Linked DNA regions of Mus musculus. The protein of the gene in region 5 interacts with the protein of the main gene of each other region in a biochemical or structural test. Links are inferred from orthologs where the notes say so. Each region holds a gene or a part of one and is shown on either strand. Other genes may lie near its edges. The genes, in order: Arhgap35, Arhgap32, Smurf2, Kctd13, Rhoa, Pld1 and Mcf2.

The links.
Region 1: the proteins of Rhoa (region 5) and Arhgap35 form a complex in vitro, tested with the Homo sapiens proteins (3 studies listed by BioGRID). The link is inferred for Mus musculus from reciprocal best matches to the Homo sapiens genes RHOA and ARHGAP35.
Region 2: of the proteins of Rhoa (region 5) and Arhgap32, one has a biochemical effect on the other in vitro, tested with the Homo sapiens proteins (3 studies listed by BioGRID). The link is inferred for Mus musculus from reciprocal best matches to the Homo sapiens genes RHOA and ARHGAP32.
Region 3: of the proteins of Rhoa (region 5) and Smurf2, one has a biochemical effect on the other in vitro, tested with the Homo sapiens proteins (3 studies listed by BioGRID, with this or other methods). The link is inferred for Mus musculus from reciprocal best matches to the Homo sapiens genes RHOA and SMURF2.
Region 4: of the proteins of Rhoa (region 5) and Kctd13, one has a biochemical effect on the other in vitro, tested with the Homo sapiens proteins (2 studies listed by BioGRID, with this or other methods). The link is inferred for Mus musculus from reciprocal best matches to the Homo sapiens genes RHOA and KCTD13.
Region 6: the proteins of Rhoa (region 5) and Pld1 form a complex in vitro, tested with the Homo sapiens proteins (2 studies listed by BioGRID, with this or other methods). The link is inferred for Mus musculus from reciprocal best matches to the Homo sapiens genes RHOA and PLD1.
Region 7: the proteins of Rhoa (region 5) and Mcf2 form a complex in vitro, tested with the Homo sapiens proteins (2 studies listed by BioGRID). The link is inferred for Mus musculus from reciprocal best matches to the Homo sapiens genes RHOA and MCF2.

What each region holds. Positions count from the first base shown.
Region 1 is NC_000073.6:16,496,984-16,499,993, reverse strand, and holds part of Arhgap35 (rho GTPase-activating protein 35), read left to right. Parts: intron 1-417; exon of another isoform or gene 418-1,281; intron 1,282-1,304; coding exon 1,305-1,410; intron 1,411-1,983; coding exon 1,984-2,341; 3' UTR 2,342-3,010.
Region 2 is NC_000075.6:32,255,803-32,259,302, forward strand, and holds part of Arhgap32 (rho GTPase-activating protein 32), read left to right. Parts: coding exon 1-256; intron 257-910; coding exon 911-1,896; intron 1,897-3,099; coding exon 3,100-3,500. UniProt on the Homo sapiens protein: GTPase-activating protein (GAP) promoting GTP hydrolysis on RHOA, CDC42 and RAC1 small GTPases. May be involved in the differentiation of neuronal cells during the formation of neurite extensions.
Region 3 is NC_000077.6:106,844,216-106,847,715, reverse strand, and holds part of Smurf2 (E3 ubiquitin-protein ligase SMURF2), read left to right. Parts: intron 1-1,574; coding exon 1,575-1,733; intron 1,734-3,500. UniProt on the Homo sapiens protein: E3 ubiquitin-protein ligase which accepts ubiquitin from an E2 ubiquitin-conjugating enzyme in the form of a thioester and then directly transfers the ubiquitin to targeted substrates.
Region 4 is NC_000073.6:126,938,879-126,942,378, reverse strand, and holds part of Kctd13 (BTB/POZ domain-containing adapter for CUL3-mediated RhoA degradation protein 1), read right to left. Parts: intron 1,047-3,500; coding exon 957-1,046; intron 869-956; coding exon 816-868; intron 233-815; coding exon 37-232; intron 1-36. UniProt on the Homo sapiens protein: Substrate-specific adapter of a BCR (BTB-CUL3-RBX1) E3 ubiquitin-protein ligase complex required for synaptic transmission.
Region 5 is NC_000075.6:108,304,834-108,308,959, reverse strand, and holds the start of Rhoa (transforming protein RhoA precursor), read right to left. Parts: upstream 2,801-4,126; 5' UTR 2,407-2,800; intron 2,164-2,406; exon of another isoform or gene 1,884-2,163; intron 1-1,883. Other genes in the region: Tcta (T-cell leukemia translocation-altered gene protein homolog), read left to right, coding at 3,016-3,238, 3,532-3,634. UniProt on the Homo sapiens protein: Small GTPase which cycles between an active GTP-bound and an inactive GDP-bound state.
Region 6 is NC_000069.6:28,130,680-28,133,862, forward strand, and holds the end of Pld1 (phospholipase D1), read left to right. Parts: intron 1-834; coding exon 835-1,059; 3' UTR 1,060-2,683; downstream 2,684-3,183. UniProt on the Homo sapiens protein: Function as phospholipase selective for phosphatidylcholine. Implicated as a critical step in numerous cellular pathways, including signal transduction, membrane trafficking, and the regulation of mitosis.
Region 7 is NC_000086.7:60,176,290-60,180,374, reverse strand, and holds the start of Mcf2 (proto-oncogene DBL), read left to right. Parts: upstream 1-1,285; 5' UTR 1,286-1,468; coding exon 1,469-1,793; intron 1,794-4,085. UniProt on the Homo sapiens protein: Guanine nucleotide exchange factor (GEF) that modulates the Rho family of GTPases. Promotes the conversion of some member of the Rho family GTPase from the GDP-bound to the GTP-bound form. Isoform 1 exhibits no activity toward RHOA, RAC1 or CDC42.

The DNA.
Region 1 (3,010 bases), on a different chromosome or scaffold from region 5:
TGGGTGGGTGGCAGCACCCTCCGTCTGGCCAGGAAGCAAGCAGTCTTTCTGCATCAGAGTGCCTGTCTCCAGGGGCAACCAATGAGCAAAGAATGGTGTTCTTTATGGTAGAATCTGTGGATGGTTCGTCTTGGGAGCTGGGGGGAGGCAGGAAGCCCAGGCACACAGTACTGCCCTTCAGCAGGGGCCTGGGACATAGACCCCAGTCCAGGTGTGCGGCCATGGGTGCAGGCTCTGGGCATGACAGTAGGATGGGACTGGCCTCCCGGAGGATTCCCAGAGCACACCTGGGCTGGCCGCCAGCAGCCACCTGTCTGTCCTACCAACTGCTCTGTATCCATTTGGTGTCCTCAAAACTCCCACCAAACTCAGCCCTGAAAGCCTTTCATTTTTCTTTCTTTCTTTTTTTTTTTTTTTAATTTTGTAATTATATTTATGTACAGAAAACTTAGTGTACATTTAACCCAGTGTAGTGCCGAGTTCTTTAGCCTTTGCCTTTTCCAGCTTGGCCATGCGAGCCACAGACTTAGGACCCAGGACGTTGCCTCCCCAGTGGCGACGGATCTCGTCATATCTGTCATTATAATTGGTCCTAATAGCTCCCACCAGCTTAGCCAGAGCACCCTTGTCTTCCGAGTTAACCTGTGTGAAGGCAACAGTGGTGCATGTCTTCCTGTAGACCAGGTGCCCCAGCCTGGCCTTTCCCTTGATGATGCAGTAGGGCACTCCCATCTTTCGACACAGGGCAGGCAGGAAAACCACCAGCTCAATGGGGTCTATGTCATGGGCAATCACCACCAGCTGAGCCTTCTTGTTCTCCATCAAGGTGGTGACTGTATTGACTCCTGCTTGGAGGACAGGTGGTCTCTTAGTTGGGACGTCCCCTTTGCCAGCAGCTTTCTTCTCAGCACAGATCAGTAGCCTCTTTGCTTCTTCTCTTGCTTTGTCTCTGGCCTGTACTTGTGGACAAGCTTAAGCAGCTGAGTAGCTGTCTGCCTGTCCAGGGCCTGGGTGAACGGGTTAATGGCAGGAGGGACTTTGAGCCACTTGTAGAGGATGGCTCTTTGCCGCTGCAGCCTGATGTAGCGGGGCCATTTGACAAAGCACATTAAATCTCTTTTGGGCTGGATGTCCTGTCCAGTGCCGAAGTGCTTGGGCCTCTTCTCGAACAGAGGGTTGATCACCTTCTTGGCCTCCTGCTTCTTGACGACGGCGGGGGCCAGGGCCACCTTCTTCCCCTTGGCCTTCTTCCCTTTGGGCATCTTGCTCGGCTGCTGGAGAGACCTTTCATTTTTCTCTTTCAGAAATCAACGACAGGGAACAGAAGCTGCATGCTCTGAAGGAAGTGCTGAAGAAGTTCCCGAAGGAAAACCATGAAGTCTTCAAATATGTCATCTCCCACCTGAACAAGTAGGTTTAGGAGCTGCTGGTTGTTTTTCCTCCTGTATAAGCAGCATGTTGGGTTAGTTAACTGAGGGAGAAGGCCAGCAGGGCCTGCCCTCATGTAGCATAGCTAGGCTCGTGGCATCCTTACTTTCCATTCTGGCTCTGGCTCCAAGTCTGTGGGGGGTGACAGGGTAATTTCTCTGGCAGGTGCTAGAGCCTTCAGAAACTTCACAGTATTAAAAATGCCAAGAGCTTCTCACAGCTGCTCCTCGTCCATGTCTCGGTGCTCGTGTGAGACAGATCACATATCAGGAGGGGTGCCTTAGGACAGAGCAGCCTGTCCTATGATGTGAGCAAAACCCTTTACTGATAACCAGGTTTAGCCACTCATGGTGGGACTGTTGGCAGAGGGATAGATAGTTTTTGGAGCCATGCACTAACTTCCTGCCCATCCCAAGCATCATCACCAATTTGGTTGATAGCCTGGGCCCTAAAGCTCCTTGAAGCTGGTGACAGGTTCAGGTAGAAGCTGGGCAGGCAGGGAAGACACCCCTGAGGCCCTGTGCAGATCTCACCTGCCTTTGCTGTCACCTACAGAGTCAGCCACAACAACAAGGTGAATCTTATGACCAGTGAGAACCTGTCCATCTGCTTCTGGCCCACGCTGATGCGGCCTGACTTCAGCAGCATGGACGCGCTCACAGCCACGCGCTCCTACCAGACCATCATCGAGCTCTTCATCCAGCAGTGCCCCTTCTTCTTCTACAACCGGCCCATCAGCGAGCCTCCAGGGGCTGCGCCTGGCTCCCCTTCAGCCATGGCTCCCACTGTTCCCTTCCTCACCTCTACACCTGCTACCAGTCAGCCATCACCTCCCCAGTCACCTCCTCCAACCCCTCAGTCCCCAATGCAGCCATTGCTGTCCTCTCAGCTCCAAGCCGAACACACGCTGTGAGCCACCACAGCCCAGGAAGCAGGAAAACCAATCGTCTTCTTGACAGGGTGGCATTTGGCCTTGAACAAAATCAGGTCCCCTGGGGTGGAAGTCACAGCCAAGCGCCTTTTTAAGACTTGAGTGGTGGCACTAGCCAGTGTCCCCCATGGCTGGGCAGTTGAGCACCTGCTCTTCACCTGCCCTGGCTATGGCTGTGGCAAGCTGTGAGCCCTCGCCTTGTCTGGGCCAATCTGAGGACTGAACTGACCAGATAGCGGCCCCATCACCCCTACTGCTCCTTGGACCCCTTGGCCCAACCTGTCTGCCTGCACCAGCGTCAGGCCCCACCATCGGGACATCACCCCAGCCTCTGCCAGGGGCAGAGGTAACCCCAAGCAGGGCTGGCCCCTCTAAAGAGGACATTTCCCAGTTTGTCCTTTCTTGTCCATACCTACACACACCTGCAGCGGGGGTCTGGGGAACATGTGGGCTATGGCTCTGCTACCCCGTAGGACACACTGGGTCACTGGCATGGCCCAACAGCACAGCAAGAGGAGAGCTTTGTGCCTATACCCAGTGTGTGGCTTTCCTCCAACCCCTTCCCAGACTTGTGATCCATTCCCTGCAGCAAAGGAACACTGGAAGAAAGATGGAGCTCCTCCACAGAGACAGAAAGAAACCACAGCAAGA
Region 2 (3,500 bases), about 76 Mb from region 5:
AATACTGTAGCTCAGAATGCATCACCTACATCTTGGGACAAAAGTGTGGAAGAAAGAGATGTCATAAATAGATCCCCCACCCAGCTGCAGCTAGGAAAGATGAAAGCAGGTGAGAGAGAGGCACAGGAGACCTGTGAACCAGAAGCACAGCCCCTGGAACAGGGGGCAGCTGAAGAAGTAGAGTTGCCAGGGACAGAGGAGCGGCCTGTCCTGAGCAGTCAGAGCAAGGCTGTACCGTCTGGACAGAGTCAGACAGGTACTGTTTGTTCTCCTCCGTTCCTTCTCTAAGCTAAAAGGGGTCTTCCGTCCTGTGTGCCATCTGTGCCTTTTAAGAGAGCCTTCTCCACAGCTAGGCTAGAATCAAAGAATGTTTTTCTGAATGGTGCTGAGGGCTCAAAGCCCTAAACTAAAATGAAGCAAACAAAACTCCCCAAAGGGCCCATGGTCCTGCTGCGAGCCTTCACAAAGGACCCCTTAAGTCTCTGGACAGTCAGGATTCATGGATAATTTTTGCACAACTGTGTAGCTCTTGATTCTGTTTTCTCTTCTAATGCATATTCTATTCTAGCCTTACAAGTTGACAAGCCAGTGTAGCAGTACCATCACAGTCTGAGCACTGGAAGCTTGTGCTCTAAGTGACCTTTTCTAAGTCAGTGGAGGCCTGCTTCCCTCCACCCTCTGTAGCAGTTCAAGAGGACTGGCAGCCTTTAACACTGTGGTAGTTTCCCTTTCAACCAGATGTGGTTTCAGCAGCATTTGCATGTGGGATAGAAGATCATGGATTGCAATTTTGAAATATGGAAGGCATATTTTTATGTTTTTAGTGATCACATGGGGAGTGTTTGGCTTTCCGTATAGGGTAACATAAGCTACCTTTTCATTCTAATTTTTTTTCCCAATTTCCCACTAGGAGCAGTTACCCATGACCCCCCTCAGGATCCCGTTCCTGTCAGTTCAGTCTCTCTTATCCCACCACCACCGCCTCCGAAAAATGTCGCCCGAATGTTGGCACTAGCGTTAGCTGAGTCTGCACAGCAAGCCTCAAGTCAGACACTGAAGAGACCAGGGGCTTCCCAGGCTGGGTGCACTAGTTATGGAGACACGGCAGTCGTTCCATCTGAAGAGAAGCTGCCTAGTTCCTACTCTAGCCTTACTCTAGATAAAACCTGTTTCCAAACGGACCGGCCAGCAGAGCAGTTCCACCCGCAGATCAATGGACTCGGAAACTGTAACCAGCCTCTCCCTGAGGCAGCAGCTATGGGAGGTCCCACCCAGTCCAACACAACTGACTCTGGGGAGCAACTCCACCAAGTAGACTTAATAGGGAATTCGCTACATCGAAACCATATATCTGGGGATCCAGAAAAGGCTAGAAGCACTTCAGCTCCCTTAACAGACTCAGAGAAGTCTGATGATCATGGAAGTTTCCCTGAAGACCACGCTGGGAAGAGCAGCGTGTCCACTGTCTCCTTTTTGGAGCAGGACCAGTCTCCACTCCATTTCTCCTGTGGAGATCAGCCCCTCTCTTACCTTGGTACCAGTGTGGATAAACCCCACCATTCCTCAGAACTTACAGACAAATCTCCCATGCCTTCTACTTTGCCTAGGGACAAAGCCCACCACCCTCTCTCTGGGTCCCCTGAAGAGAATTCCAGCACAGCCACCATGGCTTACATGATGGCAACTCCAGCAAGAGCGGAACCGAGCAACAGCGAGGCCAGCAGGGTCCTGGCTGAGCAGCCCTCGGCTGCTGATTTTGTGGCTGCCACCCTTCAGCGCACGCACAGAACTAATCGGCCCCTCCCTCCACCTCCTTCCCAGAGGCCTGCAGAGCAGCCACCAGTTGTGGGGCAGGTACAAGAAGCACCAAGTATAGGATTAAATAATTCCCACAAGGTAAGCTAGAGAGGAAGTCAGTGAAGTAGTATACTTTTCCCAAGGTATGCCATTCGGTAGGATGTATTATCTTTTAGTCAGATGCGTGTCAGTCAGGTGGCAGATTTCCATGGAATCTGCCATTTGAAGCAGGCGGTCTCTGCCTGTGCCTGGCTATTGGCTTTGTGTAATGACAGAGCAGCCCCTGGTGACTGCAGCTTAACTATCCTTGCTGCTTCTCCTTCCTTCCTGAAGCACTGAGCTCTTTCACGGGGACACACTGACAGAATGAGGCAGAGGGAGCCCAGGGCTGCAGTAGTGATTGTCTTTTCCAGCTGCCTCACTGTTCAGGTGACTGAGAGTGAGTCATGTGACCACCTTGTGACTACCCAACCCTTGATGTCTGTATTGAAGGTACTTCATCTCCAGGGCTTTCAGAGGTCTAAGGAGTGATGATATCTGGAGTTCTTGTTATTTCCCTGCTGTGAGCAGCTGTGTTGCATAGTTCAAATGCCTGCGTTGGGGGGGTGGGAGTGCTAGATACAGAGTGCCAAAGAGTTTTCCTAATTCCTACAGGTTTTGTGGTAACCTTAACCAAAAGGAGTTAAAATTCTGGCCCTTCCTGGAGGGTACTAGCTGTAGAACTTACCTCTCAGGGACAACATATTTTATCTGTGGGCCCACTGACAGGATGGACAAAACGCAGAGGCAGTAAGCCCTCACATGCTGCCACTGCAGACAAGTCACTTTGAAACTCTTCCCTGTATCTGGAAGTTTAAAACTGCTTGCTACATGGAACTGAGTCACTCTGAAACTCCTGCCAGCTGATAAAATCAGCTGCTTTCATTAAATAAAATCTTCTTGGTGCTGAGACCAATAGGTAGGATGTTTATTTTTTTTAGGCCCAGCACTGGTTTTTTTGCCTAATCCTGTCATTGGTTCTGCACATTAAGATACCATTGTAGGCAGTCTCTCTTCACATTTCAACCCTAGCAGGAGTTAGCAAACACTACACATGTCTCCATAGGTAATAGCGTACTGTGTAGACACACACATACTCTTTTTTGGGGGGCTATGGGTCAGGTTCAGTGTAACTGAAGAGCTTGGACAAAGTTTGAGCTGTCACCCAAATAGCCTGGGTTTGCCCCTTATAAATGTATTAGCATTTAGCTTTGAGGGGTTGGTGTTAAACAACAGACTCTTAACATCGCTGTCTTCCCACAGGTCCAGGGAACGGCTCCAGCTCCCGAGAGGCCACCTGAGTCTCGGGCCATGGGTGACCCCGCACCCATCTTCCTCAGTGATGGCACTGCTGCTGCCCAGTGTCCCATGGGCGCCTCTGCTCCTCAGCCTGGACTGCCTGAGAAGGTTCGGGAAAGCAGCAGGGCTCCACCACTCCACTTACGTGCTGAGTCTTTTCCTGGCCATTCCTGTGGCTTTGCTGCCCCAGTTCCCCCAACACGGACAATGGAGAGCAAGATGGCTGCTGCCTTGCACTCCAGCGCTGCAGATGCCACCAGCAGTTCAAATTACCACTCCTTTGTCCCTTCGTCAGCCTCAGTGGATGATGTGATGCCCGTGCCACTCCCCGTCTCACAGCCTAAGCATGCTTCTCAGAAGATAGC
Region 3 (3,500 bases), on a different chromosome or scaffold from region 5:
GGTGTGTTGTGTTGTGTTGTGTTGTTTGATTTTGAGGTAGGTTCATTATGTAGCTCTGGCTGATATAGAACACACAGAAATTCACCTGCTTCTGCTGGGTTTAAAGGTGTGTGTGTGTACATGCATGTGTGTGTGTGTGTATGTGTGTGTACATGCATGTGTGTGTGTGTGTGTGTGTGTGTCTGTGTGTACATGCATATGTGTGTGTGTGTTTTGTTTTTTAGATGACACAATCTTGGTCTGTAGCCCAGGCTGGGCTTGAGCTTGCACTCTACCTATGTCCTCAGCCTCTGAGTGCTGGGATTATGTTATATGCCACCATGCCTCATGTGTTACTTGATCCTTATTAGTTGGCATTCTCTGGTCCTATGATGGGAATTTGGAAAGTTTTTCTAGAATTGCTTCACCTTTTTGAGCTCTCGGCTTGAGAAGTTCCAGGACTTTTTCCCCAATCTTGGTGCTGATCTCCCTCTTCCCAGCTGCCACTCAAGTCCCACTTGAGCGCACCCCATCGGGGAGTCCGTTCTCTGTTGAACAGAACCAAGTCAGTTCTTCGTTGTTATTGTGAACTGAAGGTTCTCAGAACTTTGCTTTGCCTCTTCTGTAGTGGTTCTCAAGCTTTAGTTGTTCTGCAGCAAAGGAGTGGCCAGGATCATTTTAAGCAGAAATCAGAATCATTATTTGAAGAAATCTCTAAGAGCTGGTAATGCCTCAGTGGACACTGTTCATCTTCGCCTGCAGCCTCCAGTAACTTGGACACTCTGGGATGGTCTCCTTCTGTAGAAGTTTTGCTCTAGCAGGACAGGATGAAAATCTACACTGCTGTTGCTGGTTCATAAACAGCCGGAAGGGAGCAGTACACATAGAACAAGGTTAGGGAGGGCCAAGATCTTCTATGCTTCTAGGCACCCCAACCCCACCAGCCACCTCAGAGCATTCAGCTGCGTTCTGTGTGGTCCTATATATCCTTATGGTGTGTGATACAGTGGTCCTTGTCTGCTAAAAGTACTTGATCTTTTCTTTGTTGCTACAATAAACCTTAAAACATTCTTCTTAAGTATCCTTACCAGGTTTTTCTTCATGAAATTTATAGACTTCAAAACTTTAAAACAACATATTTTGTTAAAAAAGAAATGTTATGATTATTTCCAGGATCAGGATTTTAGTAATGTTTCCAGTTTTGCTTGTTGAAGAACAGTACAATCACTCATTGCATGCACATTTGTTTACACCCAACTTTATGATATAATAAAGAAAGAAAATATTGAATAGAAATTTTTTATATGGTTGACGCTTGTAAAACAATACTTTCTGTCAAACAAATATTGAAGTGTAGTTTATGTTGGCAAGTAGTATGATTGCCAGACTGTGTGATAAGTTTTGATCCATTTAGGAATTGGGTGTTGAATGTGCAAGTTTGTGAAACCGTTGGGAATTAAAGATTCCAGCTGAGCATCTCAAGTTTCTGAAACAATACATTCTCTCAGACTTCATGGAATTGCTCTGTGTCACATACGCTGCTTGGCTCAGCAAGCCCAGTAATGAGGTATTTCTGTTGTATATTTGTTTTGCAGGGATCTTAGCAACATCAATTGTGAAGAGCTCGGTCCTTTGCCTCCTGGATGGGAGATCCGCAATACCGCAACAGGAAGAGTTTATTTCGTTGACCATAACAACAGAACAACACAATTTACAGATCCCCGGCTCTCTGCTAACTTGCATTTAGTTTTAAAGTAAGTTTTGAAGCAGTACATGTGAAAATATTGTTCTAAACAAGAGGATATATATGTGCTTTTTATAATGTGAAAGAATATGCAATCTCTTAAATTTACAATATTGATTTATATTTATGATGAGTTCTCAAGGGGATAGTCCAGGTTGGCTTTGAATTACTGGTGTGGCCTGACAGTTCTTCCTGCCACTGCTTCTTCAGTGTTTGGATTGTAGACATGAGCTACCATGCCTAGCTATAATTTACTTTTACTGATCAGAGTATATGAAAGAAAATGGGATATTTTATTCTGACGTAGTGCATATCTTACTTTCACTGTGCTCAAACAGGAACCAGTACTGAAATGTTAGAAGAAGTATGCATGAGAAGTGCTCAGGCAAGAAGGCTGTTTACAGAGGCTGTAGCTTGACCAGAAGCTGAGACTGAGCAGGCTACTTCTGTGTTGCCATCCTATTTCATACAGCTGATAACAGTGACTGACAGAAATCTCAGTAGCACTTTCTGTGTGTAAAGTGTTGTTCTTGCATGTATTAAGTTTCTTCCTGGTAAATATTTCTCCAGATGAGGGAACAAGCAGAGGTTGACTCTCTATAATTTTCCCAACTTGAAGTGCTCCTAGATTCAGACCTATCAGTGCTTTGGTTTCTGATCATGTCTGTACTGCATGGTTTTTGTACCACATTTGCATCTTTTACTTTGATTTCTCTCTAGTTGCCCATTTTCTCCCAACCTCATTACTTACTGGCATTGTCTTCTGAGGAAACAAGGGAGGAAAGGGAGCGTCATCATCAGGAAAGCAGCAGTGTGTCTTTGTCACCAGTTTTGGGAAAGATACTTGGGTAGTGGTAGAACAACAGACCGTGGCTTCTTTGAATCCTGAGAACAAAGTTGTATCCACAGAGTAACTCAATTTAGAATCTCTAAATAAATACTACCTGCTCTGCTTTCTTCATTCATTAATGTGTGCAATAAATATTGTGCTAAATGTTAGAATAGAATAAAACTAATAGAGGTCAGGGATGATTTTGGGAAATATTCTTGCTTCATTAATTTTTTTAGGGGTAGATTCAATAGGATAAATTAAATGAGAACTGGCTACTACTTGTTTAGAATAATACAAAAGAACCCATTTAATATGTGTCTTTGTTGCTGCTTTGAAAAAAATTGGGGGTGGGGAGGTTGTCTCTTTCCACCACCCTCCCCCAACAGGCTCTTCTTGATCTGGCCATTCTAGAACTCACCACGTAGACCAGGCTGACTTTGAACTCAGAGGTCCACCATTCTCTGTCTCCCTAGTCCTGGGATCAAAGGCGTGCGCCACTATGTCTAGCACTTTTAATATTTATGATTACCTTGTCAGAGTCATTATGTTAATAGACCTTGTTTGTTTGTTTGTTTGTTTTTCGAGACAGGGTTTCTCTGTGTAGCCCCTGTGAACATGATGGTATAGCTGTGCCCTAAATAAATAAATGAATGTATTAAAATATTTTTATTTTTCGTGGGTAGTAAGTTCAGATCAATCTTTTACTAACTCTATGAGCACTGGTAAACCCTTGTTAGTACTGACTTTATTTACCCATCTGTTCACCCTCCCTGGCCTTGATTTCCTTATGGGATACCCCAGTAAAGTCATGGGCCTAACACTTGGTTCGTCTTCTTTTTTTTTTTTTTTTGGTTTTTTGGTTTTTCGAGACAGGGTTTTTCTGTGTAGCCCTGGCTGTCCTGGAACTCACTCTGTAGACCAGGCTGGCCTCGAACTCAGAAATCC
Region 4 (3,500 bases), on a different chromosome or scaffold from region 5:
CAGTCCTCCCTCCCACCCTCCCCAACCCCCTCTGACCTTGGTCTGCTTCTTCTCCGTAGCATAGACTATGGAGGTACAGCACACCTCGGCAATTTTTCGGCCCTGCCCGTAGAAAGACCAGCAGCAAATCTCATCTCCTAGGACATCCTTGAGGAAGAGCAGCCGCCCATGGAAGCGCAGGGCTAGTTTGTCAAACAGCTCGATGTTCTTCAGTAAGTTGTCATCTGAAGTGCTGAGAACCAGGGGCAAGCGGTTTTAGGTGACTGTCTTCCTTCCCTCCGCTCCCCCCAGTGGGGCCCACATTCCCAGTCTTGTGCAGCAGGGCACTTCTGACTGTGTAGGCCTCTGAGGGGACACATTTGCAAGGCAAATTACTGCCTAGCACAGAGGCTCCTGGTGCAGGCTGTCACCAGGCACCCCAGCACTGCCACATTTTAACTCGGCAACATTAGGCAGGTTACGTAATCCTCTGGTGCCATAATATCATCTCTAGTTGGAGACCAACACATCCTCAGACCACTGGGAACACAGATAAATTAACAGACAACACTGAGAACAATCCTGTTGGGAAATAAGGGACTAGCCTATGCTAACTATTATCACAGGCTTTGCTTGAACCTCATTTACTGACGACAGGTGGCACAGATGGGATGGGACATTCAACAGGCAGGCATTCTGCAGTCTCTCCATATGACCACAGTCCTCCATGGAATATAATAGTAGAGCTCTGCCAAACCTAGGATTCTGTGGCTGTAAACACACAGAGCCGCCCCGCCCCCACTCGCCCCGCCCCGCCCCGCCCCGCCCCCGCTCACCTGGTGTAAGAGTACTTGTTGTTACTGCGGTTGTGTAGAAGCTTCACCACAGGCTGTAGGGAGGCAGAAGGATGCAGTCAAGAGACTGGGAAACAAAAGCAGCCATCACAACTGCCCAACCCACGGGCTCCAGGGCCTCACCTTGGAGGTGCTGGCCAGGAGCTGCTGCTCTTCCCGGGGTGATGTCACTGTGGGGATGAGGCATAGTGGCGACAGCTTCTCCCTTTTTTGCTGGAGAGGAAGTGGAAGTTGATTAGCAGTACAACTGGTGTTGACTCACACCACTTAAATAAAGGCTGTGTGACTCTGTTTGGGGGTTGAAAATACTCTTCCATGTCTCCAAGGCTCACTAGGATGTGACCACTCCACGCCACTCTGGCTGTCTTGTGCAGTGGTACAGCTAGTGTATAATTTAGCATGCCCAGCTAAGAGGTTTATTTTTTGTGTGTTTGTGTGTGTGTAAAATTAACATGAAAGTCCAAGCATGGCAGCAGGTCCCCAAAGGCCCATCTACAAGAGTCTAGCTGTCTGCCCTCCCCATAACTCCACCCTTAGCCTACCAACCTGCTGTTCTGCAGGCACACACTGCATGGGTCAGCCTGCTAGGGGTGTGCTGCATTGAGCTGTGTGCAGCTCAGCATGCTGACCCACAGGCAGTTCCACTCCTGCAGTTACATAGCTTCCTTGGGTTCGGAGTATTGGTTGCTTCTCTTCACAGCACTTAAGTCTGTGCCTGCGTCTGTTCTGACATGTGCCTCCTGAGGACTGTACAGTGATGACCAGTGTAAGCACACTTTGCTGAATGACTGAGTACAGCGAGGTTGTTTATCTCTGGAGGGCCGGGGGTTGGACCCAGGACCGTGAGGGCATCCCAAGCGAGGACACTGAGGACACTGCCGCTGACTTATACCAGTTTTTTTTTTTTTGGGGGGGGGGGGGGTTCGAGACAGGGTTTCTCTTAGTAGAAAGAGAGTAGGTCTATATAGAGTGTGAGGCTATGTAGTCCTGGCTGTCCTGGAACTCACTTTGTAGATCAGGCTGGCCTCAAACTCTGCCTGCCTCTGCCTCTCAAGTACTGGGATTAAAGGTGTGCGCTACCACCACCCAGCTACTCTGCACCATTTTTAAAAATAAAAAATTAACTTTTAAAATACTGAGACAGCCTTACTAAATGACTTGAGTGGACAGTCCTTTGCCTCGGCTGTCTCGGTGACACACGCCTCTAATCCAGCACTTGGGAAGTGGATGCAGGAGGATGTCATGGATTTGAGACCAGCCTGATCTACAGTGAGACCTGTCTCAAAAACAAACAGAACAAAAAACAATCCTCCTGTCTCAGCGTCCCACATGTTGAAATGTCCCTTTAGAAACATGTTAGAGGAATGCCTGTCTCTAACGCCACAGTCTAAGACAATTTCCAGAAATTGGTTTTGAGACTTATTTTTTTTTTAAAAGACAGATAGGTTTCTCCATGTATCCCAGGCTGTCCTAGACCTCACTCTGTAGACCAGGTTAGCCTCAAACTTAGAGCTCTACCTGCCTCTGATTCCTAAGTACTAGGGTTAAAAGCCTGTGCCACCTTGCCCAGCTAAGAGGTTTTTGTGTGTATGTGTTTATGAGTGTTCATATGTACATATAGAATTTAAATGGAACTGTAAGGCCCAACTACTAGAGGCTGAGGTGCAAGGGCCGCTTAAACTTGCGTCTGTGAGAATGGCCTAGACCTAACTCTCATAGAAAGTACAGAGGAGAAACGTAAGTTCATCCAATCAGGAGACAGGAGGTAGACGCGAAGCAGAGCCACAGTGCAGGTCTATACAGAGTGTAAGGCTATGCAGGACTCTGCGTTGAGATTGTCTCAAAACAAAAACAACCAAAGACAGGAATGTGTATACTGTAACGGAAGCACTTGGGAGGCAGAGGCAAGTGGTTATCAAGTTTGAAAGCAGCTTGGGCTACTTAATAAAACTACCTCAAAACAAAACAAAACATCAATGGAAGCATAGAAGTCTGCAGTTACTGCCAGTTTTGAAGCGGTGAGTCTGTAAGGCATAAGGATCCACTACAAAGGCAAAATAATGGAAACTGCAGTTTTGGCACAGAGACAAAATAAAGTCCGACAGAAACCTGTGGGTGTGGCAGGTGAGAGCTGAGGAAAAGCGCAGGAAGCAGGACACACACCTGTTCTCTGTGCTGTGTAACAAATGGCCCCAAATGCCACAGCCTCACTTAAAGTAAGGTCTTTACGGTTCCTTTTCCTCTTTGGTGAGCTGCTCAGGCCCTCAGGCTCTCCCATGAGGCATGCACAGCAGGGGTGTACAGGCATCTGAGAGCACTACTGCTTTTTAGGGATCACTTTCTAAGACATATGGCTGCTATGTTCACATGGTTGTTGCATGAGGGACCTAACCTTTGCCACTGGACCTCTCTGTAGGGCTGCTTGAATGTCTTTATAACACAACAGCTGGTTTCTCCAGAGAAAATAATGCAAAGGAGAAGACGGACAATGGACAGCTCACTGTCTTATGACTAGCTTCATCTGCCTTAAGTCACTGGGAGCTCTCTCAAGGTTGGCTCCATTAATTCATTGCTCCCAAGATTGTCCAAGTCTCATCACTACACTGGCAGCTCAAAGCAGAGAAAATCTGAACTAGGTTCAGGATGGGATAAGGCCATTTGGGCACA
Region 5 (4,126 bases):
TCTGTTTTTGTTTTTTATTCCCGAGACAGGGTTTCTCTGTGCAGCCCTCGTTGTCCTGGAACTCACTTTGTAGACCAGGCTGGCCTCGAACTCAGAAATCCGCCTGCTGGGATTAAAGGCGTGTGCCACCACACCCAGCTCTGAAGATCTGTTTTCACTCTTCTAGTAACTTACTTACACCCCTAATAGAGCAAGATGGACTTTTTAAAGGACTATGAAATCACTCCAACAAAACCACTCTCACACATGTACAGACCATGGTCTACTTGATACATGCAAATTCTCACCAATTCCATTTAAAACTGACTCAAAGGAGTCTTGAAAACATTCTAGCTGGACCTCATTACCTTATCTTTGCTAACAGTAAACTCTCAAAACCCGGTCCTTAAGAAAACCAACACACTCAAAGGCAAGGCCTAGCCAGAAAGGAACTACTTACAAAAACATGAAATTTGTTTCCCAAATATGCATAATCTGCATGGTAAAGAACCTGAAGTAACCTGGAAATTCTGATTTTAACTGACAGCACATGGAGAATAACAGAAAAAAAAATAGTTGTAGTCTAACTAGATGTATGACCTTCAAACATTTTAAGTCTCAGCAGGAATGGTGGCACACACCCAGTGATCCCAGCACTGTTCCGGAGGCAGCACTAGGAGCATGTGGAAATTAGAGACCAGCTTTATCTACAAATTAAGTTCCAGGTCTCAGGTCAGACCCAGTGTCTTTTTTTTTTTTTTTAAATTAAGTCTTAGGTCAGTGGTTCTTCTGGTATTATCACACCCACTGTTCTCTCTGCGGAGTAATAAGCCTTTCTCAAGAAAGAGAGAGAGAGACAGACAGACAGACACACACACACACACACACACACACACAGAAGGAAAGAGAAAAAAATTCCCTAAGCTCAGTTCCCACACCTACAAACGGAATTGGTTTGTAAATCCTAAAGTTTTTTTTTTCCTCCCCAGTCTAAAATACTACATCTATTGGGGGTACAATCAGTAGAGTGGATGTTCCTATTCTCCTGTTCAGTAGATTTTTGAGTAGAAGCTATGTAAGTTGAGCACTAGAGTTTGATCCCAAGTTGTAAGGCTGAAATGCAGCTCAGAGATACAGCACCTGTTCACTGTGTCCCAAGCCAACACCAAAGAGGAAAATAAAATAGGAAAAAAACAAGCTCCATATATTTTATGTCCCTAAGAAACGTCACTGCTCCGGAGAAATACTCCAAACAACATCTCAGAGTCTTCAATATTAAGACCTGATCTTGTTTTCTTAGTTTAATAATACGTGAGTCAAATGCTCAAACTAGCCAATGAAAGGTGAAAAAAACATTCCACATGGTACATACACATTTGGGCACGTGACACTAAGTGGCTAAAAATTCTCACCACATACCGCATCCTAAAATATAAGTTTTCCCCTTTCAGACTGGCATGGGGGATGTACATTATACGTGTACTACATATTATACATATATAATGTTATATATAACATGCAAAAAGCACTTATTTCAAAATATACCAGAAGACAAAACCAAATAAATAACTAATAGGTCAAAATTTAGTGATGACTATTAGAAAATACAAGTAGAACCAATTCTGGGGCAAAAAAGAAAAAAAATGGTGTCAAATTTTCCACTATCAGCTACTAAACATGAACTTTTTTTTTTTTAAATCAACTTGCCTGCAAAAAATGCAATTTTACGAAACCGACCTGAAAAGGGGAACCCATCAGTGATTCTTAATTGAAGTAATAACTTTAAGCAGAAATGCATCTATTTTGATGCAACCTCGCCAAATTATTATGTGTTTTTTCGACTGGAAAATACCTTCCCCCATAGAGTCATAACCGCTAAGATTTCAAAACAATCTTTTACTTACACAATCTCCAATAATACGGCACTCAAAACAGAAAATCCACCCAAACCCTCACTGTCTTCACCCGGTATAGAACGGGATTAATAATCCACGTTCAATGCAAAAGGCAAAATGGAGTTGTAAAAGAGTTTCTTGCCTAGTCCAACTCCCGACAGCCACACGCGCTTCGCAGTGGCAGGCTACCCCAGCGCGGTCGCGGACCGGCCGGGAGCCCCCGCCCAGCCCGGCGCAACCCTGAGAGGAAGCGACGAGGAGGGCGGGCGGCTAGGGCTCCACCAGGCCCGGCCGGGCGGGGGAAGGGGGACTGGAGGCGGCGGGGCGCGCTTCCGGGGACTGCGCGGGCGGGGCCGCCGCCTCGGGCGCGGGGCCCCAGGTCAGGGGCCGGGGCGAGGGGCTGCGGGCCGAGAGCAGCAGGTGGGGCGCGACCGCGGGCAGGCGACGGGCCGGAGGCCGGAAAAGTGCTTGCCGATCAGCCGACCAGCCGGGCCCGGAGCCGAGGCGGCTGGAGGGAAATGCTCCTGCTCACCTCAAGGCGAGGACTCCGAGTCCGGCCTCTTCGCGCTGAGGACGCTTGTCCGCGAGTCCGCGAGCTCCGAGCCAAGGACGGGCAGCTCCGTGGGAGACGGCGGGCTATGGAGAGAACCGACGGAGGACCGCGGGCGGCGGGCGGGGAGCGCGAGCGAACGAGGGCGGGCGGTGGCGGGAGGGCGGGGAGCGACGTGCGCGGCCCCGAGCGCCCTGCGGGCTCGAGCTGGCGCCAGTCGCGGCCCCGCGCACGCGCGCACACTCTCAGTTCAGCCACGATTGCTCAAGAACGCATCCACGCCCTGAGAGCTAGACGCTTAACCAATCATGGCAGACGCGTGGAGCATGACGGGAACACCGGGGCTATAAAAGAGCGAGTTGCTATTTTATCCTCACCGAATCACTCATCCTTTAAGCAAGCAGGGTGGGGCTGGGTGCGCCTGCGCGGTTTTAAAAACCCCTCCCCAAACTGCCAACACTTCGCGCAAGCGAAGTAGATCTTCCTTGCCTTGTATTACGCGTGCGCACTGACAGGCCTAACCCCGGAAGACCATACGCTTGCGCAGTAAGAACTACGGTGACAGTACTCCCGGTGGGGCGCTGGCCAGTCATGGCGGAGCCTTGGGCCGGGCAGTTTCTGCAAGCTTTGCCCGCCACGGTGCTCGGAGCGCTGGGCACCCTGGGCAGCGACTTTCTGCGGGAGTGGGAGACACAAGACATGCGAGTGACTCTCTTCAAGCTGCTCCTGCTGTGGTTGGTGTTAAGTCTCCTGGGCATCCAGCTGGCCTGGGGGTTCTACGGGAACACAGTGACCGGGTTGTATCACCGTCCAGGTGAGGCTCCCTACGAACCTCCTTGGCCCGGCTGTCCCTACCACCACCATACTGTACCATTGGGTTCTCCTGTGTCCACATAGACTACCACTGGTCCTCCAGGAGCCTCACTGTACCCAGACTTACAACCCCGTACCATTTTACACCACAAGCCCCTCATGCCCATCATCACGTTGTTAACTGTTTCTCAAAACCCTTCCTGGACAATACCACTAGTCCCTAGTATCCCAGCCTCAATCTCTATTAAACTATACCAGTGGCCCCTGACCTGACCTGGGCTATTGCCTGCTCAGATCCCCACCCTCAGCCTCCTGCAGCTATGGGTGTGTTCCTGCCTCCAGGTCTGGGTGGCCAGAATGGATCCACACCTGATGGCTCCACACATTTCTCTTCATGGTGAGTAAATCTCTGTCTATCCCAACCCCATGCTTGACAGGCAGAGAACTCTCAGCATGTGAGTGCACCAGCTTAGTGGCTGTGCAAGAATCCTTCAAGGCTAATGGTAGAGCTCAGGATTCCAGTTGGGGGTTCCCAGTGGCTTTAGAGCCTCTCATCAGCATGTTCAGTGGGGATGGATGGTGGTGTTACCTTAATTTCAGAAAGGTGATGTGCCAGGTCTATTGAAAACAAATCCCTTGGTTGGGAAGTCTTTCTTTAGGAAGGCAAGAACATCTATTCTAGGCAAGTACTGTACCACTGGAGCTATAACCCCCAGCCTAACAGTCTCTATTCTTAGCATACGACCTCATCAAGTCAACCTCCTAATCTCTAAAAACAACAGCTTACTTATCAGGACATTTCATTCAGCTAATCTCTGAGCTTCTACCACACGGCAGAGGTCACAGTACACCAGAAAACAAGGACAACTCAGACTCTGCCAGGCAGTGG
Region 6 (3,183 bases), on a different chromosome or scaffold from region 5:
TTTATAAGGCTTATCATTTAGAAGAGGCATTAGTGATACCCTGTACCCTGTCCTCCATAGGATGTAGAGCTCTCATCAAACACATCAGGGGCATATGACCAACCAGTCATGAGAAGGTGGAAGCTGAAAACATTTTGGATATAATGGGATCAAGCTGGACATGACACGGTGGAATTTTGTGTCTTAGACACAGGGATGATGTTGATTCTGTAGGTACCTGTCCATGTTTTGATGCAACACCTTCTGAAATTCCCAAGGGTTTAGTGCTCTGATGTCTGAACCATATGTCAGTTAGCAAAGGGTTATACTTACAAACACTAAACGTGTTGCCATATGTGTCTTTCAAAGTGAAAAGTTAGAGAAAACAGAACTTGCAGTTTTCCCCTTTGACAAGAATCTCCAGTGAAATTTGAGTAGGGCAATTGTTTTAAAATTTCCATTTAAGCAAGTGTTCCTTACTGCTATCTTGACTTTATTCTGTGGATAATAGCACTGGGATAAGAATGTGGGAGTGGCCTTTTAAAATGGAAACAGATGAGCAGTGTTTTAGCAAAGAAAAGCTGCAACTAAGGTTGGTTGGGTTGGTTGAAACCAGGACTTACTACATAGCGCAAGCTAGTCTTACACTTGTAATTCTCCTGCCTCAGCTCCCATGTGCAGGATTACAGGCATGTGTCACTTCACCCAGCTGTGAACAGTAACCCATTCGGCTTGTGCTGTGACATAAAATGAATGTTTTACAAAACATTTTGCCTGTTGGAATGATTACCTTTCATAAAGAACCGGGGCTTGCCCTTAAGCAAGTGGCTCAGCTTCCAATTTGTATCTTAACAGGTCTTCCGGTGCCTTCCCAATGATGAAGTACACAATTTAATCCAGCTGCGGGACTTTATAAACAAGCCCATATTAGCAAAAGAGGATCGCCTTCGCGCCGAGGAAGAACTGAGGAAGATCCGCGGGTTCTTGGTGCAGTTCCCTCTCTATTTCTTATCAGAAGAGAACCTGCTGCCTTCTGTTGGAACCAAAGAAGCCATTGTGCCTATGGAGGTTTGGACTTAAACTGTTTGCAACTGAGGGTCTTCCAACCTGAAGACCACAGTTCATATATGTTCACTTCTAAGGACTTCACAGCCAGAGTTGGGCCTGATGCCTCCTGTCACCTACCCACTGGACTCCTTCAGAGTGGTTGGGTGTGGCAGTGGTCACCCTGATATAAGGACACTGGACATAAGCAGATCTTCATCATTCCCCCTACTTGTCCTTGAGAAAAACAGCTACGTTCTTGTCGATAGCATATGCTCAGATAACACCAAACACAGACACAAATTACATCATGTATTTCAAAACCCATTTCCTTTGCTAACAAGACTCTGCCTGTGACCGTGATCCATACAAGTTGCCAAAAGTTGCCTGAATGCTCTTGTTCTTAGGTTCATTTATGCATCTGGGGCCCACCTTGTCATCCATACAACACTGTTTAAGAGATTGCTTATTAATGAAAGATGTTGGAGAGCTGCTTTGATGGTCCTCAAGGATCTAGATGATGCCTGTACCCAACCTGATCCTAATGTGAGCATATCTACTAAGCCAAGACATTGTTCTTTGTTCTTTTTCAGTCACTGTAGGGACAGAACAGGCTTTGCCTACCTAACTACATACATTAAGCACTTCTAAGGACATCAATACTGTATCTTAATAACAGGAAGGCATTAAATCCTAATACTGAAGAAGGATTTCCCTCTGTTCCCAAAGATACTGCCCAGCTGTGTCCTTGTCATCTGATAACATTTGTCAACATGTGCAGCATATGTCAAAACATTGTAACCAGATACGCACAGATGGGACCTCCAAGATGTCAGTGGGAATCCAGTTCAGATAAAGGACAGGATTTCTGTCTGTCTGAAGAATCCATGTCCTCCTTAGCCACTGGATTGACAGAACCAAGTTGATTTTCTCCATTATAAGGCCAGTGGATGTAATTTGTCTTTCAAGTGAATCAAAGGCTTTACCTTCAGTTTTCCACTATACCTTCTTTAGGGGAAAAGGCAATTGATTATACAAGACCTCTACTTTGCTTGAACTGTTAACCATGTTGTATCATTCCAAGACAGCTCCCAAAGAAGCTGAAACACTAACTCACATTGTTCCGATCTGAAATGTGGGTATCCACGCTCCCTCTCAGCTGGTATTATGCCCTTTGTAGACCAAATTTCAGAGCTCCTCTTGCATCCTGGGAGGGTCTACAGGTTCCTGGAAGCCTGGGACTTGTGCATACGAGGTACCTATGTGATTGTAAACAAAAGGGATTGCTGGAGTAAAATTTCCTTTAAGGTGCTCTTCAAAGCAACTCCCAACCCATGTTTTCATGAATAAACGTGCTGGTGTAAAAATGACACAGGACCACAAAGCCAGTGATATAGGTTAGTAACAGAGTGACAGTTATATCCAAGGGAAGATGTGTCATCCCTGAGGAACATTGTACAAATGAGGTAGGATTTGTAATCAACAATGGAAATTAACATGTTTTTATGAATAAATAACTTATTTCTTATATGGCCAAGGATGGTGAAATCATTTCATTTTGTAGTTTTAGTGAATAAGACACTTTATGCAGATAAAGATCTGATTATATTTAAGATATTCAGTGTATGTGGAGTACCTGAAGGCTTACTGTGTTTCATTTAAATTAAAAAAAAAAAAACCTTAAAGCAGTAAAAAAAAAAATTGGTTCTTGATTTTGTACAAAATGTTCTCATTAGACCATAAAGGTCTGGCACAGACCTATAATAAATCATTTACTTTAACCCTCCCCATGGTACAGCAGAGGGTTACATTGGAGGAAGTAATGATGTAGACCTGCCCATCAGATGTACAACAGACTCCTGCACCCAGTGTTAGTCTCTCCTCACTTCATTATTACCCCAGACGAAGGACATGGAGGTTTCAGACAGGGCGTCTTCTGCTCTTTCGAATCCTGTAATCTGTGTTTCTTTGTCTCCACTACTAGAATGGTACCTGGACACGGCAGAGACTTCATAGGTTGTTTAGTTTGTCTTCAGACTCTGAAACAGTGCCTAGTACAAAGGACATGTGGGTAAATGTTTGTGGAGTGAAAATATTATACAGGAGAGGGAGCTGATGAGCTGCCACACTAAGTTTTAGGACACGCGTCCCACTGCTGGT
Region 7 (4,085 bases), on a different chromosome or scaffold from region 5:
TCTGAGACAAGGTTTCTCTGTGTAGCCCTGGCTGTCCTGGAACTCACTCTGTAGACCAGGCTGGCCTCAAACTCAGAAATCCACCTGTCTCTGCCTCCCAAGTGCTGGGATTAAAGGCGTGTGCCACCACTGCCCGGCTTCTATAGCTTTTCCTTTTTTTTTTCCAGATTATAATTTATTTACCAGATTTCTTTTTTCCCCCTTCCCTCCCTCCAGCCCCTCCCCCCTACCTCCCTGCTAGCCCTTCAAAGTCCTGCTGCTCTAGCTTTTGTTATGAGCAGCTAGCTTTCCCTTACTCTTCCAAAGCTTTCTTCTGGGGAGCTTTGGGCTTAGGAGAAGGGATTGGCTGGGACCTCCCATCCTTTCTCACTTGGTTCTTCAAGAGGATGTCTTGTCTTGCTGCCACCCCCCCCATTCCCCTGGTCAGTTTGTTGTTATTTTTCGTTTTAATTGCGTATGTGATGTTTTTGAGACAGGATCTTTTGTAAGTAGCCCAGACTGGCCTGGAATGGGCTATGTCGCTGGAGATAACCCTGATCCTTCAGAGTCCATCTCCTACCCAGAAGTGCACACTAGGAAAACACTCTACCAACTGATCTGTATGTTCAGATTCGACTTTGGTTATTATTTATTTTTGTGCATAACATATGTATTACAGTGCATGTAGAGGTCAGGGAACACTTATGTGGGATCAGTTCTCTTATTATACCATAACTTACACAGGGTTCCTTTAACCCAGGTTGATCCAGCAAGTGTTTTTTACCTCACAGTCTTCTCAGTAGCCCATTTCTATTTCCTCCTTTCCTTTTTAAAGCAAGTCAGGAAACTTGGGCGAGTGCAGGCTGGTGGGGGGCAGGGTGGGAGAAGGCACATTCAGGCTAGAGCTCCAGCCCTTTTGGACTAACCAGGGCTGCTTTTCTGGCATCAGCAAAGCTCTCCAACAGTGTTATCTGCAGGTGCCCACACTGTGTATCCTTACTCCACTCCTGCCCTGCCCTGAGAAGCAGGATGCAAAGGAAGAAAACTCTTGACTCCAGCTCCCACTGCCTAGAGTGAGAGGTCGGGCGGTCTCCTCCCTACACGTGCTCCAGCCTTCCCTACCCCTCCGCGGGCGTATCTGTGGGGGCTGTCCCCTCTGGTTCTCGGTGTCCCGCCCCTGATCCATCCTGTTGGAAACTAGGCGGGGACGTGGGTGTACATCCACTCCGAGCGGAGTTGCTCAACTCTCAGTAGCTGAGGTCAGAAGTGCTCTGCAGCCAGAGTCTTGAAATCTCTGCAAGTTTCTGGGCTCCCTGTCCTGGGGCTTGTTGGTCCCAGCTAGGGGGCTCTAGTCTTCTAAGCCACTGAGCTGCGTAGACTGCGACCCTTCTGGCCGCGTCTGTGCTTGCACAGACGGGCTGCTAGCGAGCCAGAGTCCGGCAGTGGCCAGTTGAGGTTGGGGTCACCAACTAGCGAGTCTGGCTTGAGGATGGCGGAAGCAGGGCCCCCTCCAGCAAGGTTCCCTCCAGCAAGGCTCCCTCCAGCAGGGTCCTCTCGGGCTGGGCTCCCTCCAACAGGGTCCCCTCCCGCTTCCACTCCGGCCCTGGCCTCGCAGTGGCTGGCGGTCAAGCGTTTGCCTAGGGCTGCCGCCAAGGCGCCCAATCTCCAGCTGAATCAGGACCACTGTTCTTTCGTGCCGTTCACGCAGGCGGTCCCGGTGCAGGTGGACATGGCCATGGCCCTGCATCGCGTTAGGATCGCGGAGAAGTACGGGAAGAACTACCTCTGCTTGCTGCAGGCAGTCTTCCTAGCAGGTGAGTACCACATCCCTGTGCACTCCCACTCAGTTGCCTGGAACACTGGGCTCTCTCCCCTCTTCCCGGCTCCCTCCTCAACCTGTTCGGGTAGGGGATGTCTGGTGCACTTTGTCTTCTCTGCTCTCTCTCTCTCAATCAACCTCTCTCTCTCTCTCTCTCTCTCTCTCTCTCTCTCTCTCTCTCTCTCTCTCTCTCTCTCCCTCCGTCTCTGTCTCACTCTCTCTTTCTCCCTCTCCTTTCCCTGCCCCCATTCACTCCATAATCCACCCCCCCTGCTGTGGCACTCCTAGTTTAGAGCCGCCCAGACTGTGGACCTCAGTTCCTCAGGCCAGCTGCCACTCTGAGGATGTGTGTGGCTCTCTGCTCAGCTCAAGCCCCGCAGGTGGACCCCCAGAAGCCCGCCATGCAAGGTGAGACTGTTCCAGGTCTCTTCCTCACTTCCCACCACCACCCACCTGGATGCCTCTTGGTGGAGTTGGGAATGTTAAGGGAGGAATCTTCCTACACCGCATTCTGTACCCTAGAGCGGAACCTTGCTGAGGAGGAGGATGCAGATGCACTTCCCTGTAACACTCCCTGTAGTTTTTAAAGCGAGGTTTATTTACTTGTGTGGGTGGTTGCTGTTTGTTTCACGTACGCGTGCTAGGGCCAAGTCAAAAAGGCGCTTGGATTCTGAAAGCCGCGGGCCTGAAGTTGGAGGAGGAGTTTGCAGGCAAACTGCGGTCAAGAATTTGGGTTTTCTCACTAGGACCGCCACTTCTTTCCAGCCTGGTCCTATGAGCTTCCTGTCTTCCTTCAGCTCTTACTACAAAGGCGAAAGGCTCTTTCTTACTTGCCTTGGAGGGACAAAACCAAAGCTAACAAATGTCTTAACTGCTGCCACTGTTTTGGTAAAAAGCTTAAGAGTAGTGAGAGGCGGCACTTGATGTATACATATTGAGCTAGTCGGAGTTGCTTGGCTTTGGACTCTTGGTGTACCGTGAAGCATGCAGAGGCTCCTAAAATTTAAAGTTCCTCTAATACCATTAGCAGTCCAGGAATATCCGCCAGGTGCTGCAGCTCTGGCCATGTCTTTTGTGCGTCTGTGGTGCTTGCTTACCCTGCGGTGTTCCTTGTAATGGGAATTTGGGAATTAAAAACTAGACATGGTGTAGTTTTTCTTTTCTCAAATCAGGTAGCCACAGTGTGTGTTCCAAATTCCTCTTCTTGTTTGAGGCTGTCCACGAATTGGAAGGAGGTCACGTCGATGACTTCGGTTAAACCACAGGAAACCCAGGGCTCTGTCTAAAGCTTGGTAACAAAGAACCCTTTGGTCTTGAGTATTTTGTTTGGAAGCGGTCAATGTTATTTTCTGTATGTAATAATAAATCATTAAGGGAAGTGTGGGAGTGGGGCACACACTTTTTCAGGGTTTCAGGGCAGTTTAAATGGATGTGGGAGGCAAAAAAAAAAAAAAAAAAAAAAAGGAAGCCTGTGCACAAGTCGTGTGCAGTGGGGGCTAAAGATCAACTTCGTAGAAAAAAAACACATAAAAAATGAAACAGTCTCACTTTGTAGCTCAGGACCAGCTCCAAATAATCCTCAGTGCTGAGAGGGCATAGGTACATCCTCATGTCTACCACCACTCATAACACATAGGCACTCACATGTACACACACACACACACACACACACACACACACACACACTTGTATGGATACGAGAGAATGAGGTGTTCTGGGGCCTGTGTGTTGGATGCTAGGCAAATGCTCTACCTCTAAGTTACAATCCTGGTGGGAAAATGCCACAAAAATGAAATACAAAGGGATGATTCTATTGCCAGGCATTTCTTTCTTTGTTCTCAGTTCATTTTCTTGATCCTTGGAAGTTTCTAACATGCTGCCACTGTGGCATGGCAATACATCCTAGCACTCTGTTGTGTTTTAGTGGAGGTGGGGGTGGGGAGAGGGATACAGTAGTGGGGTAGGGAGACTGGCAGCTATTTGTGTTCAGGTATTTTTCAGCAGTTACCACCATGTCCCTGCAAAGATAAGTATATCTGTGGCTGGGACACACCCTATAGGATATTATAACTTTATGTTGTTGTTGTTGTTGTTGTTGTTGTTGTTGAGGTGGGCATTTAAAAAACTTGCCTATGTTGCTTTTGAGCTCCTGGTTTAAAGGATGTGCTTCAACCTCTAGAGTAACCAAAATTACAGGTTTGTAACCCCGTGTACAGCTTGGGACTTATTTTGCTCTTTTCAAAAATACACTGTTTTGTTCTCTTTTTAGTGCGTATATGTGTGGGAG